Tamandua tetradactyla: one gene and its partner. The protein of the gene in region 1 interacts with the protein of each later gene in a biochemical or structural test. Links are inferred from orthologs where the notes say so. Each region holds a gene or a part of one and is shown on either strand. Other genes may lie near its edges. The genes, in order: NFE2L2 and ENC1.

The links.
Region 2: the proteins of NFE2L2 (region 1) and ENC1 form a complex in vitro, tested with the Homo sapiens proteins (2 studies listed by BioGRID). The link is inferred for Tamandua tetradactyla from reciprocal best matches to the Homo sapiens genes NFE2L2 and ENC1.

What each region holds. Positions count from the first base shown.
Region 1 is NC_135329.1:149,516,997-149,525,977, reverse strand, and holds the start of NFE2L2 (nuclear factor erythroid 2-related factor 2), read left to right. Parts: upstream 1-2,608; 5' UTR 2,609-2,772; coding exon 2,773-2,817; intron 2,818-3,233; exon of another isoform or gene 3,234-3,423; intron 3,424-3,774; exon of another isoform or gene 3,775-3,958; intron 3,959-3,981; exon of another isoform or gene 3,982-5,173; intron 5,174-8,981.
Region 2 is NC_135347.1:57,736,619-57,745,599, forward strand, and holds the start of ENC1 (ectoderm-neural cortex protein 1), read left to right. Parts: upstream 1-3,691; 5' UTR 3,692-3,746; intron 3,747-7,608; 5' UTR 7,609-7,621; coding exon 7,622-8,981. UniProt on the Homo sapiens protein: Actin-binding protein involved in the regulation of neuronal process formation and in differentiation of neural crest cells.

The DNA of each region.
Region 1 (8,981 bases):
AGGAGGGGTGGTTCATTGGAGGCCATCTTTGGAAACTAGCGACCCCATATACTTCAACTGTAAGGTGGACAAAGTAGAATTTCAACTATAATTCCAGGAGTTTCTGAATATTTTCTGGCTCAAAGAGGAAGTAAAATTGAGAGGAAGCAAGAAGAAGGAAGAGGCCTCAAGGTGATGGAGGATTTTTAAACAGTAGGTATGTTCTAGGGCCTTGCAACTTGGCAGACTACAGTATGGAGAAGAAGGTGAACAAATGGTCAATGCATGACCTTTATCCTAAATTTGTGAACTCAGAAGGCTTACTTGATAATGCTCATCTTTATGAGAACTCTAGCATAAGACATTACAAGTCTGACACATTACAAGACTATATAGGGGGCTTTCTTTCCAAAGACAGGAAAGAATTCAGACATCAGTGGAAATCTAGGGTCAGTAGATTGTAAAGCCAATTGGGAGAAAAAGCAAAATAGTAGGCTAGAAGAGGATGGTAGTAAAAAGGGCCCCCATGGCATCAGGAAGATGAGAAAAAACAGCACCTCCTCTTTCCTGCTTTCCTGGAACCTCCCGATAAGCAGTATGTGCACCTCCATAGCAGAATTTGCAAGTGTAGAGGGCAAAGCTAGAGCCAAGGCTCTCTCATGGAGACAATTCTTATCTTAGTGTTTCTAAAACTGGAAACCTCTTTGACATGAGTCTTCTGAGACTGGGATTCCCTTTTCTTGTGCTGAACCACCATTCAGTGCCAAATGGCTTTTCCTAATGTCTTTATTTCTTAAACACGTTCAGACTCTCACCATGTTGTTCTCCTCCCTTTGAAAATATGTACTTTGCAGGTGCCTGAAATAATATACCCATAGTAAATTGCAGTTTTGTGTAAGTGAAGATTATTTCATTCAGTCTAAACTCAATGGAACTCTTGTTGCTTAACAAAGAAATACCAAATACTTTATAAACTCCTTGAGGGCAGCAACCATATCATATATGATTTGTGTATCTCCTATCTCCTAGACTCTTTGTCCACCTTCTTATGTAGTAGTTTTAAAAAGTAACTCAAATTGTTAACAATATATTCTTGTCTTTTTTCTTTGATGCAGAAATGTCATTTCATTATGATGTCTCTGCATAGTTCATGTCAGGTTCTTTGTAAATAATTTCTCCCAAGCTTGTTTTCAGTGCGCAGATCCTTTTGCAGGCTTTTCACATAACAGCTGAATGGGTTTATGGCTGAAGAAGCTTGCTTCAATTACAAGTAATTAATTTAGGCTTCACCTTTCTCAAGGATTATTTGAAGATATAATTTACAGGTAAGTCCGGGGCGTGTCAAATTATGCAACCAAGATAAAATAAATTCTACAGTTTATTGGAAAGAGAGGAGGCAGATTCTTGAATGACATAGTAAAACCACTGCCAACACTATCTACTTCACTTCCTTTCTAATAATCCCAAGAAGCTAGAAACTGAAAACCAGTTTAAAAATTAGAAACATCAGGGAAAAAACGCCATTTCTCTTTTGTTTTATATAAGATTTCACAATATTCCTATTTTCAAATACTTAATGTTATGTAATGATTAATTTTTAAATAACTTTTTTAATGTAGAAAGTAATACATATTCATTGTAGGTTTAAAGCATAAGGTAATAAAAGAGAAAGATAAAATCCGTTCACGATCCCACATTTATTATTTTGGTGAACATCCTTAATTTTTTTCCTAGGCATGTTTTTTAAAAACGGGCCCATACTCTACTAACCGTTTTGTAACTTCGTCTTTTTTTTTTTTAACTATATCGTGAATAAATTGAAAATAAAGTCAAGAATTTTAGCATGTTGTAGCGTTACACCATTCCGTGGCGTGGTTTGTGCACCTTGGTAGGAAAAGAAAGCTCGTGGGGTTCCCATTTTTGCCCAGCTCTCGGCGGGTAATATTGACCACTCTGTGACCAAAGGGGACTTCTTCCTTTGACCTTGGCAATCTGACCCTATCGAGAGTGCAAACGTATGGGAGTAAGTAGAGGGCGTTCAGGGTGACTGCAAGCCCGAACTCCCGGTGCGGTCCACACCTCCCCTGGGCAGGACCTGCTTGCCTCCGCCCCGGCGGAAACAGAGGGCGAGAGGGCAGTTCGCGGTGCGCACCACCTGGGTTTTAGCTCTCCTCCCCTCCCCCCGCCCCCCGGGCTGGCGCCACTCTCAGGCGGCGGGGTGTGATAAAGCAGGGCAAGGTTCTGTAACTTCAAATCAGGGAGGCGCAGATCCGATACCAGCGCCCTTGCCCGGTCTTCGGGCGTGTTTGTTACAACTGTTTGAAAGCGCCCAACCCCAGCGACCTTCGGCAAACAACTCTTAATCTCCCGGGTGGAGACCACTGGTCTTATTTGAGAGGAAGACAAACTGAGCGCGGGGACAGAGGAGCTAAAGGAAGCTTGCGCTCACCACCCCGCCAGCCCGCGACCGCCCACAGGGACCCGGGCCCGCGGCCCTTCCGGCGCCGGGACCCTGAGCTCTTGCGTCAGCCGGGCGGGGGTGGGGAATTTTCGCAGGCTTCGCTTGCACCGCAAGCCGGGGAAGGAAGGGCCCAGGCTCTTGCCCCGCCTTCGGGAGGGCGGGAGGCGGAGCGGGGCAAGAGCAACGCCGGCGACTCAGGCGGTGTAGCCGAGCGGCGAGCGCCGGGCAGCCCGGAGGAGTCGCCGCCGTCGCCACTGCCTCCGTGTCCGCGCCTCGGCAGTCGGGTTCAGGGCAGTCGTCGGGGAGCCCCAGCCCACGGTCCCCAGCTCAGCATGATGGACTTGGAGCTGCCGCCGCCGGGACTACCGTCCCAGCAGGTGCTGTCCCTGCCCTCGGGGCTCCGCGGAGGTGCAGGGACCGGGCAGGGGCGGGCGGGGTTCGCGGCCCTAGAGGGACAGCCGCCAGCGTTTCTCCTCCCGTCTGTGGCCGGAGCAGGGACTGCAGCGGCCAAGAACTGGAGCCTGGAGGAGGGTAGCGGGGGCCTAAGGGGGCGCGAGGGAGTGGAGATGAGGTCGGGTGTCCTGACAGACGACGAGTCCTCAGCACCCGAGGGAGCCTGGAGCGGAGGGGTCTGGGGGGGGGGGCGTAACTTGCCGCGTGTCCGCTCCCTAGCGCTGGGACGCGGGAGCCTCCGCCGGTCCCCCGAGTTTGAGCGGCCCAGAGGCTGCAGAACAGGAGGGGGTGGACACCCGCGGTCTGAGCCGGCGCAGCCCGGCCCTTCCGCTGCTGCGCGTCTCCCCCGCCTCGGAGCCGGCAAAAATGTGCCTAGTCACGGGGCCACTCTCGGGGGAGCTGAAGTCTTTGCTAGGCCGGACTCAGAGGCCCTCCTCGGCCACCGCCTCAGGTCTCAAGACCTTCGCGGGTGCGAGCTGTCGTGCAGCGCGCCCACCCCGTTGGGCCGTCTATGGGTACTTCTTTGCAAAGTAATCAGTCACTCCGTCAACTCAGTCTTTGGCCGCCTTGAGCTAGAAAGCTCAGCCTTCAGGGGAGGGAGGAGGTCATGAAGTGTCCATCGCTCTCTAACGCCCCGACGTGCCGCAAGACCCAGCCCCACGCGCATCCTCCGACCGCGGCAAAGGTTTGGGATCCGGAATTCAGGACCCACCCGGTCGGCCCCTCGCTGCCCCGCGGAAAGTGCGGGCGAGGGGCGGACTGTGAAGTCCGAGTTCGCGGCGCCCAAGACTTTTGGTTCCGGGCGCTGTGCCTCCCGGTGGCGCACGCCGCGTGCGTGGCTGCGGCCTGCGTGACAGGGGCCGGTTGGCTGTCACGGAGGCCCTTGGTTGGCCCTTTCCTGCTTTATAGCGTGCAAACCTCGCCGCGGCCAAGGGACAAGTTGGAGCTGTTGATCTGTTGCGCAATTGTTATTTTCCCCAGGGCGGCTTTGTCTTTGGATTTAGGATTTCTGAATTGCAATTCCAAAATGTGTAAGGGAGGATTATCTGTTCTGTGCTGTAAAGGGTAAGAGTTGAGAGTGTAGATTAGAATTTTTGTTGCTTTTAGGGTCATTTTGTTGGCGTTCAGCTATTATTCTCCCCTTGGGTGCCTTATATATGTTTTCTTTTCTGTTTGAGAATTTGCCTCATTTCTTAGCATGTTGATTCTTTTGCAAGGAGGGTGGGAAACTTCTGTTTTCATAATGGTTTGCTAACAAGTTCTGTAAATTGTTATAAAAGTGAAAACAAATTTCCTTTCATACTTTGTAGGAACTTTTTAAAGTAGTAGATATTTGTATATTAGAATTTAAGAAAAAATTTTGGTTGATGGCAATTTGTAACTTGATAGATAGTGATAAATTTGTTAATGCTCTTGAATATAAAGTTTTAGTTTAATCCTGAAACTCTGATGTAAGCTTTTGAGCTATTGACGATGTATTCATTGTGCTGTTGTTTTCTTTAAAGTCTTGGACTTTCCCTCATTAGTGACTGGGATGGTATTCTTCTAGTTCCCGATAGTATGAAGAAGTAAATTGTACTTTCCTATTTAGCTTCTGTTCAAGAGTAATCTGTAGGAATGCTTTTTTGACCAATGCACGTATGAGCCAATGGACTTCAGTTTTCCTGTATTCAGGAATTGTAGTCTAGAGCACTCTATTTCCCACACGTGGGGAAGCAACGTGTAGGAGGATAAATGCACAACTCACTCAAGTCTTTCTGCATTAAAATAACTTGGGCCATTTGAAGTATTTATTTCTTTCTTGCTAACTTGGGATCTTATAAAAAATGCTGGGAAAAAAGTTTCTTTTTCCAGGCAGATTTGAAAGCCCAATGTTTTATTATTTTTTTAATATTTGTTTTTATTCAAGATGACTACTCAGAAGATGATGTGAGAAAAGGAACCCTCTTTTTTTTTCTGGGAATTTCCTCTCTCTGGCTTAACACATTTAAAGGGGGCTTTTGTGTAAATAATATTTCCTCTTTAAATTTTCCTTGAACCTGGGTTAACATTTTTCAGCATAAACTCTTGGGTGCAGAAAGAATTTGGCACTAAGATGATAATAACTGATATGAGTTATTGGGCACTTCCAATGAGCTAGACTGTGTGCTAATTGCTTCGCATGCATAATTTCACAGTCACCCCATACGAAATACTATTATCTTCTTTTTGCAGGTGAGAAAGGAGGCAGAGAGAGGCTAAAAGTTCTGCTTTAGGTGACCCAGCCGTTGAGTCGTGGAGGTAGGACTGAATCTGAGGCAGTCTGACTCCAGTGGCTCTTAAACACTTTAGGACTAGATCAAAACTAGTAAAACTTTAAACAGGAGGAAGTCTCGGGCTTTATAAAGTGGTAAGTTGAGAAAAACTGGGGAAAGAGGGTCAGGAATTTGAAAGATGAATGTAGACACCTTTTCAGGTTACCAAGAAATTTGATAACTGTTTGGGAGGAAGGAGGTAGACCTTGTGATATAAAATAAGAGTAAATACCAGCCTGTCAATGTAATTACCGCACGTGATCCTTTTAAGAAAGACAGAGGCCTAGGTGGTTTTAATTTAGAGAGGCAGAACCATTTGCTAACATAATAATTTTAAAACTTCCTGGGATTTTAACAGTGTCCTTGTTTCTGTCTCCCAATTCCCAGAGATAACTTTCCTTTTGTTAAGTTAAATCTCGTAGTTACGGAAGTTTTTGTTTACCTTTGTTTGCCTTACTGGTTGGTATATTTTCCGATTCAGTGGCACTTTTTATTTTGAAGTAGTGATCAAAAATAAATTTTTTGATGAGGTTATGGTGAAGAGTGGGACTGACAGGGTTAAACCAGGTTGAAGGAACTTGGGTAGAAGGGGGTGAATTCTAGTTGAATACAGCTAGCAGAAACCTGTTGGCGCAGATTAAACACTAATCCCCTGTTTTGGCACTTACAAACTGAAGCAAGTGGAAGGGCTCACGTCTATCTAGGTGAAGCTTATTTGGGACTTTGGGAATAGTGCATTTCAAAATTAAATACTTTATTTCTTAATCCTTGTCGTTAAACAAATTATATTTGGGATTATTGTTGTATTTGTCTGTGTTAAAAGTTTGCTGCTGGACTTTTTGGATCCAATGGGTGATTTGCCTAAGAGTAAATCAAGGGTATTTAAATGCTTGGCCGAATAACTTGTAGAAGGTTTTCAGAAATACACATACCAAAGATAGAAGGACAGGTTTACCAAATGTAGTACTTAGCTGCTTCTCTTCACCTGTAGTTAGAGAAACATGCTTAAGCTTAACATAAGATGGACAATAAAGTTTGTTTTGATAATCTGATTTCTAAGAGTTACTGAAGTTTTATTGCTTTTTAAACAAAGCCTCCAGCAAACATTTATTTAAGAAGGGCTTTGTGGAGACAATAACAATGAAATGTAATACGCATTTCTGGATGGGATCTAACAGGAGAAAAGACTCAAAAGAACTTCATTGAAACATGTCAGAAATTTGGAATATAGACTATAAGCATTTTATCAGTGTTAAATTTATTGAACTTGATAACTGTGCTTAAGGTGGTTATATAAGTGAATAACTTTGTTCTTAGGAAATGAACTTGGCAGTGTTATGTGTATAGGCTTAAGCTTCTTGAATTGATAATGGTTTGAAGGCAAAAGTATGTTCAAGAGTTTCGTATTTATATTCTCATTCAGTATTGGAAAATATGATCAGTGTTCTTACACTAAACCACCCTTAAAAAGATTTGTTACAAGACTACCAAACAATATCCTGCCCTATCTGAAGTTGGAATTTTCTATGTCAGCTATAATAACTCTTAATATTAAGAATATTAGAAACTCAGAGTGGAAAGCACTTTTACCCAACAGTTTTTATGGCATATGTACTATAAAATACTTGTGTGTCATGAAGTTTGATGTTTCAAAGTCTTGTGTGTGTGTGCGTGCGCCTGTAAGTTTGGTCCGAACTGTGGTAAAGACAAATCCAGGAAATTAAGAAGGATTTAGAGCACTAAGTTCACCTTTCAAAGACTCTTTTGATAATTGACTCTTGAGCGTCATTGTAATCCATCAATAGCCTGTATTCCGAAGGATTACAAAACATTCCTTGGCAATGCTGACTAATTATACCTTTTTCATAAGGTTAGAAATTGAGACTTTGAGACCTCTATTACTGGGAGCACAGTGATGAGCTCTACTGCTTTTTCAATTCGGAGAAGAATGATTGGGTTAGAAAAGAAAAATAGCATCACTTTGGCTTTGATGCCTCTTTCTGGACATGTAGCTTTTATTTTCTGATTACTTGGATTTTTCTCTATACATGACTTTTAAAATCTTTGTTGATGCTTGTTTTGCCTGTGAATCTGTTTTTTTTTCCCTACAGCTAGATTGTAAATTCCTTGAGAACTGGACATAGATTTTATATTAAAAAAAAAATTTATTAAGATACTACTTATCATATAAATCACCCATTTAAAATATTTAGTTCAGTGTTTAGTGTATTAATGGAGTTGTGCAGTAATCACCACAAGCAACTTTAGAACATTTTCATCATCCCAGAAAGAACCCTCCTACCCGTTAGAAATTACCACCCCTTATCTGTTTTACTTGCCTATGGATTTACCTATTCTGGTACGTTTCATGTAAGTGGTACTATTCAATATGTGGTCTTTTGTGACTGGCTTCTTTCACCTAGCATAATGTTTTCAAGGTTCATCCACATTGTAGGATTTATCAGCACTTCATTCCTTTCTATTATTGAATAATATTCCATTGTATGATATGCCACATTTTAGTTACATTCTTGTGTAAATGGGCATTTGGGTTGTTTCTTTGTGTTCCCTACAGCAGTGGTTCTCAGACTTTGCAGTATGTTAGACTCACCATTAGTATTTAAAATAGCGATTCCCAGGCCACATTTCTCATTAAATCCGCGTTTCTGAGGGTGATGCCCAGGCATCAGTATGTTTAACAGCTTCTGAGGGGATTCCAGTGTGCTGTCAAGGGTGAGAACTGGTTCTCTAGAGAACCTAGTTTAGTGCTTGGCACCCAGTGAATGTATCTGTATATTGATTTAGAAGATCTAGTTAGAATGTCTTATCTAAATCGTGTAAGGAAATATTTTTCTATTTGATCACTGATCTTCACAACTTTAAGATTAGCAGCTAAATTTGGAAATGCTGTTCAAGTTGCTCGGAGTATTTTTGAAGTTCAGCCAAGTAAAACTTGAGCTCTTTACTCCTTTGTGGAGATTTGGATGATACCTTTGTCATCACAAGGCTTTTCCCCAAGTGGGTCAGTAGAACTTTTCTGTGTTTTGTCAAGAATATGGCCGTGATAACCTGCAATCTAGATTACTTAAGAATAGCATAGAAAAGGCAGTGACCACAGAATGTTCCAGACAGGTGTTATAAATGCTTGTTCCTCAGTGGCCAGCTGTTTTTAAAGGAAGACAGAGCTTGGAAGCAAGGGAAGACGGCACCTGCCTTACCATAGGAAACTCTGAGCTCTGTAGTAACTTCATGTAACTTTCTAAATTCTCTGGATTCCTGGGTCGGATTATAATTCTCCATTTTAAAAAGAAAAGCGTAAACTAAATCTCTAAGGAGTCTTTTAGCAACTCAGTGTTTTTGGTTCTTTGTATCTGCCTGATAAAATCCAACTTTATATCTGGACCCCAGTGGCTGTCATTTTTAGTACTTACCTGAATTTTTTTTGTTTGTTTTACGTGTTTAAGAATTTAGACTAGCTTCCACACTGTTTGCAAGTTGTGGCTCTGTGTGAGAGAGCTGAGCTGAGCTGTGGCAGTCCCACTGCAGAGACTTGGGAGTGTAGTGTGGGGCTTCTGAAGCTGGCTTAGCCCCTGTCCTGTAAACCCACCTTGCAGACATGGTGGGAACAGGCCCAGAAGGGAGCGGGCGCCTCTGTGCCTGCCCCAGCCTCCTGAATCGGCGTTGCTGAGTAGAGCTTGTGCGACCCAACTTGTCTTGCCCCTGATCATTGCCCCTTTGGTAGGATGCATTTAGTCACATCTCAGGAAGCTGCTGTGTACTTTCCTAACCCTAGT
Region 2 (8,981 bases), on another chromosome or scaffold:
ACGACATCCCACATCCCAACACTAGCGTGAAACTGCAGAAGGAGCACAAGTCCTGGGTGGATGGCTGGTCCCCGCTGCCACACTGACTACAGGGCACAGGCTTGAAGCCCATCTCACAAACAGCACAAGTCCTGGGCGGACGGCTGGTCCCTGCTGCCACACTGACTACAGGGCACAGGCTTGAAGCCCATCTCACAAACAGCACAAGTCCTGGGCGGACGGCTGGTCCCTGCTGCCACACTGACTACAGGGCACAGGCTTGAAGCCCATCTCACAAACAGCACAAGTCCTGGGCGGACGGCTGGTCCCTGCTGCCACACTGACTACAGGGCACAGGCTTGAAGCCCATTTCACAAACAGCACAAGTCCTGGGCGGACGGCTGGTCCCTGCTGCCACACTGACTACAGGGCACAGGCTTGAAGCCCATCTCACAAACAGCACAAGAAAGGGAAGCTGTGCCTTTGTCCTCACCCACACTTGAGAAGGGAATCAAAAGACAAAGAGGGTGCTTTGGGAACCCTGGCGGGGACATGTCTGAGATTTGGGTGGGGCTCCGGTGGGTCACAGAAGGCAGGATGGCAGCTGCTTAGCCCCTGCCCCACTGCTCGGTCTCTCCCTGGAGCTGTCCTATCCCTGGTCCCATGATTGTACGAGGTTAATTAAATCATTCTCATTAATTCAGCCCAAGTGTAAATTAGGAAGAAATGAAGATAAATTAGGTTTGAAGGTAGCTAATACGCTTAACCCCATGCTGCTTATTTTGCAGCCTAACAAAATAAGGTTGTTAAGGGAGATAACAAGGCCAAAGCCTTGGGCACAGCTTACTAGCATTAAAAATGAGACCTCAGTGTAGTGTCAAAAGGGAGAGCTGAAGACCAGCTCCCAGAGTCCGCTGGCACTGGCCTAACATCTTGAGTGAGGTGGTGGCCACTGTAGAAAGTAGACACCTAAGACATTTCCTGAGTTGTTTCATACTCAGCCCATCCATTACTCCCTCTATCGTCTGGCTTGTTCCGAGGTCTGCTGGAGGTATCTTCCTGGAGAGACACAGGTCTGGCTCACTTTTCTTCCCAGGAGTGGCATGGTCAGGGGTACCTTTAGGATTGGCTGGGAGATGTTGCAGGAATTAAGCACTTTGACGTGCTAGGATGTTAAATATGCTAACTTACAAATCACTTGCAGTTGGAGGATAAACATTAGAAACTGCCCGCAGGCCCCAAAACTTTTGATACATTTGTTCAAGCAAACACGTGTACACTTGGTAGGAGGTCACTGGCGGCACACACTTTGCAAAAACACAAGTTTAGTTCCTGTGTCTTTCAGCAGGAAAAGGTTTTCCAGTTTTTATAATCTATATAATTTCTCTGCCTCACGTTTCTTATCTCCTTGAGGCAGATGAAGTAATGTGTATGGTCTCGAAATACATTTCGAGATTTTCTGGGCTAACACTATTTTTTTCCTTGAGGTACAGAAAAGTGGCGCTGTCAGGTAGACGAGACACTGGAAAATGCTGTCAGCGGATGCTGGCACATGGCTAAGGAATTTCACCCCTTTCTTAGCCTGCCTGCTTAGCAAAGCTCTTTGCAAAAGCAAGTAAACCTGCTGCCCCTTAGTTTAGGACATTCTGCAATTTCCAGGTGGTAAAAATGCAAGAGAAACCTATGCCCTGTTCCTAGCTCTATGGCTTCGTGAAGCAAAACCAGCCGACCTATTTACGTATTTCGTTCCCAGGCAAGGTCCTCTGGGTAGAGTTCTAGGTAGATTTGGTAAGAGACTGAAGTAAAAGGAAGGACTTTTCTTTAATGAGAAAAAGTGTTACTCTCTTAGCCTAAACAGAAAATGTCCCCAAATGGAAGACATTAACACTTTGTCTTCAAAATCACCTTTGCTTGCTTTTAACCCACACCCCAAACAGAGTGCTCTAGGAGGCTGTGACCAGTGTCCCCCGCACCTTGCCGCAGGCTACAGACAGACATGCCATAGATGCACATTTCCACCTTCTATCTTTTCGGCATCTATTGCTGAGGTATACAGTGTTTCTGTACGTTTGTTCTTCGTAGAATCTTCTCCAGAAACAGAGTTCTGCTCCCAGAGCTATTCTCTCCGCCCAGGGCCCCCCAGGATTGCCCGTGGGGCCACAGTGACTGGATGGGGCCCGTCTCTGCCTGTGGGAAGGAGTCTGGAGCCGAGGCTCTGCAGAAAAAATCCAAACACGAAACGGATTTTTTAAGACTCGTGTGGCTGATGAGTAAATGCTAGCAAAGGACTTCAGAGGGCACTGTTTTCCTTTGTTTGCAGGGAGTGGGGTTCCCCGAATGCCAGGAGGGAATGCGGGTAGAGGAACCCGGGATTAGAATAAAGAGCTGAGTCTCGGTTCCAGCCGTTTGTGGGCCCCGGGGGCGCAGCTGGAGCCGGGGGGCCCCCACTCCTGCGCCCAGCATTTTAAAGAAAGCTGAGGCGGGCGAAGGAGGCCGGCACAACCCACAGGCCGAGGCCTCGCGAGCGGCGCGGCTGCGCCACTTGTTAAGCGCCCTGGGGCCGGCCAACTCCCGTCTTCTGTGTGAGACGTTTGCCCCCAAAAGCCGCCTGCAGCCCCACAGGGGTTTTAGCTCTTGGCGGACAGAAGAGCCTTTGTGCAGAGACAAGAAAGGGGGTTCCTAAGCGGTCTGGGGCGTGCGGCGTTACTTCCCGGGTGGCCTGCCTTCCTCCCGGCCCGCAGAGGCGCTTTGCAGGCGTGTGTACCGGACTCAGCACCGAGCCCACGGTGCGACGGATGTGGGAAAAGCCGGATCTCAGGGCTCGGCCCAGGCTGGCTGCACCGCCCGGAGCGGGGCCGGGGCGCTGGGAGGGGAGGGGCGCAGAGCCGGCCTGCGCGGGGACCCGGGCCGCGGGGGCCCGCGCCCAGGACACGTGGGAGACGCCCACAGCTTGCAGGAAACCCTCAGCCCGCGACCTGCAGTGTCCCCGGAGTGTCCAGCCATGTGCCCCTTCCCTCGTCGCTGCCCCCCATCCGGAGTCCTAAGCAGGACGTGGGTCGCGGGCGCCCAAGGCGGCCTGCGCCCCGTTCCCGAGCATCTCGGCGGACTGTGACGGCGCGGGGCCGGGATCACCGGCACGGCTCCCTCAGCTGCGGGACTGGCCATCGGTGAGCCACTCGGGCCGGCTTCGTCTCGGTCCCCAAGGCTCGGCAGCTGCGGGCGGCAGAGACCCAGCGGCCGCCTCGTCCCTCCCCGCGCGGCCGGCCCGCCCCCCGCTTCCTGTGCCCGGCAACTCCCCCGCCGCCCCTCGGCCGGCGCCGCGCGCCCTCCCCTCCCCCCCGACCGCTTCCTCGGCCCGCGCGCCCCTCCGCCTCCTCCCCCTCCCCCCGCCTCCTCCCCCACCCCGCCCTCCCCCTCCCCCTCCCCCCTCCCCGCTTAAAGCCGGCGCTCCGCCGCCCGGCGCAGTCCGCTCCGGCAGCCGAGGAGGAGGCGCACGGCGGCAGCGGCGCTCCCGAGCCCAGACGCGGGCGTGCGCGGCGCCGTCCTGCTCCCTCCCCCGGCGCTCCGCCCGCTCGGCTGCCCCGGAGACGCACTCCGCGGCGTGGGGACCGCGGACCCGGACGAGCCGCCGGCGGTGGCCGTCCCCGCGCGCTCCTCCCCTCGGCCGGCGCTGCTGCGCCCCGGGCCTTGCCGCCCACCTCGCCCCCCGCGCGCGCGCCGAAACCCAGGCCGGAACGAGCCGGCCGTGCGCGGAGGCCGCCGCCGCCGTAAGTTCCCTCCGCCGCCGACCTGTTGCGGGCCCCGGCGGGCGGTTGGCCGGGGCTGCTTGGCCGCGGGGCGGGTTCCTGGAGGGGGGTTTGGTGCGCGCCCCAGGGCCGCGAGCTCCGAGCCGGGCCAGCTGTGCCCGTGCAGGGACCGCGCGTGCCTCTGCCCGCCCGCGGGAAGCAGGAGCCGGGCGCCGCGGTGGGGAGAGTGGCGGGGACAGAACCACGCAGGCTCACGCCCCCCACGCCGCCGCGCGTGTTCCTGTGACCTGCAAACCTCGGGACCGAGTGCGCCGGGAGAGTGGGGGCCACGCGTGCACACGTCCCGAGTGGACACACCGGCCAGGCAGAACGGAGTGTCCCGGGAGCGGCTGAGACTGGTTGCTGAACAACCGGTGCTCGGTCTTTAGGGGAACGTTACTCATTTCCGAGCCTAGGGCTTGGCGGGCGGGTGGCGACGAGACGCGAAGTTTGTTGGCCACGCAGTGTCGTGTCGCCCTCGCCGGCCCCGGCCGCGAGCCGCCAGCGTTTAGAGGACTGGAGGGCAAAGCGCTTTTCTTGCTCAGATCTTTAAGGTGGCGTTCCAGGAACGTCAGTACCCGAGGAAAGCTGCCCGGTTTCTCCTTTGAGCTGAGATCAAGTTCAAAACCTGGTGAGATGGGACGGGACGGGACGTGAAGGGCCAGGGCAGAGAGACCGACCAGGAGCCCGTTTGACGCCCACCCAGCAGCAGCCCTCTCCCGGGTATTCTTTGTAGACACAGGTTAGGGACTATGTGTGCATTTTCTCGGTCACTCGGCACGCACATATTTCTCTGGTGGCTTCAAACAATGCCGAAAGGAGGAGTCATTTCATACTGAAGGTGTGTTTACTGAGTGTGTGAATGGTTTCTGCAGATATTTTGATGTCTGCATAATTTTGAATCCAGAAAGCAAGTCATTCCCTTCGGCCTTTAAGTTTACTTTTTATTTTAATCAAGCACCACTGCGAGAGGGTTATTATTTGTCCGTGGCATGTTTTTCCATCTGGATGGCGTCCAAGATGATGGGCCAGGTTCTTCCTTTTCTGGCTTGATGTGCCAAACTTGCAGGAGCACAAACACAGGTTTGCAAAGAGGCGGGTAACTCCTATATCCTAGATCGCGTTATTTAAGTGTAAGTCTGGTCGTGGGTGCTGTTTTACATTGCCCAGGATCCAATGTTCTGGGGCCCAGCGTGATTCTAGCTCAGCCTCAGGCACTTGGGTGCCTGTGTGCCTGGCAGCAGCAGAGCCTCATTCCTCAGCGAGAGCTGCTTTGGCTCTGAGCCTTCCAGGAAGCAGCTTTTGAGGTTAGTTGTGATGCATTAGCTTTTCTTAAAAAGCATAGCTACTCGTTTCCCATTTTTGTAAGTTTCTGTATCAGGCATAAGAGAATTTATCCACACTTTTGAGGGTTAGGCTTAAAATCTTCCACAGAGTACTTTAAGTGGAATGTATTGCTTAAAGTGACGATGAGAGTGTAGCGCCTGGAGGGTACTAAGACATGCTTTGACACTTTGAAAGCCTGGCGCGTTCACGCAGATTTGCATTGCTCGTCTTCTAGAGTGTAGGCACGGATTTAAACAGACCGGACAGTAGAGGCTTAGATCGAAGGGGGGGTGATGTTTGGCTTCTCATCATTTTTCATATCCCACGTCACGGTGAAGACCTCACTGTAGGCTGAAAAGCTTCTTAGTGCCAGAGCCTTAGGGCTCTTTCCTGTACTTTCTTCCACTAAACCCTGTTTACTCATAACAAGAAGTCACATTCCAAAATAAAGGGAAACAAGTTGCATCATCTAATGGTATGTGGCCTGGTGTCCAGGGCACATATGGCACCTACATGTGCTGTTTGCTGTGCCCACTGCTCACCATAGGAAGTGCAGTTTAGTAGTGCAGCCCGTGAATATGGGGTAAAGCATGCATTTGCATTTATTCATATGTCCGATTTGCAAAGCAAAGAAAATACGTATCTGAGTATTGGAGAAAACACTGAGGGTTTCAGTTGTGCGGAGAGCATTGGCTGTTCTGGGGTTGGAACAGATACTGTAGCCACACAGTTTACCTACTTGGAATAAACATCTTCTGTAGGAACTCTGACAGGCAGGCTTCTGAAGGTTTTGTTCTTTTGAAATTGCAGAAAGGTATGTGTCAGAAAGGATGCGTGAGTCAATTCCTGCAGACAGATGGTAAGGAAAGATAAGGGTGCCATGTCCAGTATCTTTAGCCTACAGTGTTTTTACTGAAGAAAGTCAAAAGATAACATTAGGTGTGCTGTAATTTCATTTTTGACACCGAGGGAAGCAGAGTAACCAGCACATACATTCCAGGATGGCCTTAATTTAACTGTGGCTGGCAAAATACCATATACGTTTAGCTGTGTGTTTTTACATGTGTGTATTTATTTAAGCAGTTATATTCACATACCCTGCAATTCATCCAGCATATATAATCTGTGGCTCTCGGCATGATCACAGCGTTGTGCTTTCATCACCACAATCAAACTTTGAACCTTTTCATTGCTCCAAAAAGAAGAAAAAAAACACACCCCTTATAACCCCGTAATATTGACACTTAATGCTGGTGTGGTACCTTTGTTACAGTTGATGGAAGAGTATTGTAATATTGCTGTTACCCATAAACTCTAGTTTGCATTAGGTCTGTTTTCTCCCCATACCACCCTAATATTAATGCATAATAGTTACGTGCATCAGTGCTAGTTCATGAAAGAAATTCTTATATTTGTACTATTAACTACCTTCATTGTTCACAGCAGAGTTCACTGTGTTATACAGTCCCATGTTTCACCCTCTAGCTTTCCTTCTAGTGACATCCACAATCCTAAACTCCCTGCCTTTCACCCACAGTCGCACACCTTGTGTGTGTCATTTTAACTTTAAATAAAGCAGCTTTAGACTTTTGAACTCCCTACAGGCAGGTGCCGGCATTTGCAGGGACACAAGAACTGTCCTGGTGATGTGCCATTTAGGCAAAAAAGAGAGGGGTAGGCAGTCCCTATATCCTTGCAAGTGGTTTTCCAGGAATTGGCATAAAGCAGGAAGAGCAGAAAAATGCTGCTCAAAAAGAGCATCTGGATGTTATGTGTCCAGATGCTCTTTTTGGGAGGTGTCCGGAGTAAGAAAGGTCGGTGGTGACCGTGTCCTACATCTACTCTGTGTTATTCACTGAGCCTTCTGGCCACTGTGTGCTGATTTATACTGGGGTGCTTTTAGGTTCCTGAGGTGCGGTAGAGCTGGTCACCAGAGAAGTGACCTAAGTTTGTGATTTTAATCTTACTTTTCCTATTTACTGTAAATGCAGGGAGCCTGGGTCTTACCAAAGGAATTCTCAGGGGAATTAATTAGTAGGTGTCGTTTTACAGAATAGCTTTATGCTGCACAGGGCATTAAAGCCGATGCCCATCCTGGCGTTACGAGAGCAGGAGGCCTGGCATTTTCCAGTGATCTGCAGTGAATCAGCTGGGCCGGGACAGGGAGGTGTGAGAAGGAGACCTGGTTCTCCTCACCTTCTGCTGACTTAGGTTCTCAGGGACTTCGGGATGCTGAAAGCTGGCGATCAGGTTTTCCAAGATGAACCTGCTTCTGAGCAGAGATTTTTTTTTTTTTAACAGTGTACAGTTCAAATAGCTCAACAGTATGAAAGTTGAAAGCCTTTCCTGACAGATAATTAACTGCCTTTATCTTTGTGCTGGCATTGCTGTACCCTGTGGGGCTCACAGCAGAACGTTCTGCTTTCTTTGTCTGAAAAAAAGATAGTTGCTTTTATCCTGCTGCCCTAACATCAGCAGCATCGCATTCAGTGGCTTGGTTTTGTTTGTCTGTTTTCAGGAGCGGAAACAAAATGTCAGTCAGCGTGCACGAGAACCGCAAGTCCAGAGCCAGCACCGGCTCCATCAACATCTACCTTTTCCACAAGTCCTCCTACGCGGACAGCGTGCTCACCCACTTGAACCTGCTACGCCAGCAGCGCCTCTTCACTGACGTCCTTCTCCATGCCGGGAATAGGACCTTCCCCTGCCACCGGGCCGTGCTGGCTGCTTGCAGCCGCTACTTCGAAGCCATGTTCAGTGGGGGCCTGAAGGAGAGCCAGGACAGCGAGGTCAACTTTGACAGCTCCATCCACCCCGAAGTCCTGGAGCTGCTCCTCGACTATGCGTATTCCTCCCGGGTCATCATCAATGAGGAAAACGCAGAGTCGCTCCTGGAAGCTGGTGATATGCTGGAGTTTCAGGACATCCGGGATGCATGCGCAGAGTTCCTGGAGAAAAACCTGCACCCCACCAACTGCCTGGGCATGCTGCTGCTGTCCGATGCGCACCAGTGCACCAAGCTGTACGAGCTCTCCTGGAGGATGTGTCTCAGCAACTTCCAAACCATCAGGAAGAACGAAGATTTCCTCCAACTGCCCCAGGACATGGTGGTGCAGCTCTTGTCCAGTGAAGAGCTGGAGACGGAAGATGAAAGGCTCGTGTATGAGTCTGCAATTAACTGGGTCAGCTACGACCTAAAGAAGCGCCACTGTTACCTCCCAGAGCTGTTGCAGACAGTGAGGCTCGCTCTCCTGCCAGCCATCTATCTCATGGAGAACGTGGCTATGGAGGAACTCGTCACCAAGCAGAGAAAGAGCAAGGAGATCGTGGAAGAGGCCATCAGGTGTAAGTTGAAAATCCTGCAGAACGACGGCGTGGTGACCAGCCTGTGCGCCCGGCCTCGGAAAACCGGCCATGCCCTCTTCCTCCTGGGAGGACAGACTTTCATGTGTGACAAGCTGTATCTGGTAGACCAGAAGGCCAAAGAAATCATTCCCAAGGCCGACATCCCCAGCCCGAGAAAAGAGTTCAGTGCGTGTGCGATTGGCTGCAAAGTGTACATTACTGGAGGGCGGGGGTCCGAAAATGGAGTCTCAAAAGATGTCTGGGTTTATGATACCCTGCATGAGGAGTGGTCCAAAGCCGCCCCCATGCTGGTCGCCAGATTTGGCCACGGCTCTGCTGAACTGAAACACTGCCTGTATGTGGTCGGGGGCCACACGGCCGCAACTGGCTGCCTTCCGGCCTCGCCCTCCGTCTCTCTGAAGCAAGTGGAACAGTACGACCCCACAACCAACAAATGGACCATGGTGGCTCCGCTCCGAGAAGGCGTCAGCAACGCCGCCGTCGTGAGTGCCAAACTCAAGCTGTTTGCTTTCGGAGGTACCAGCG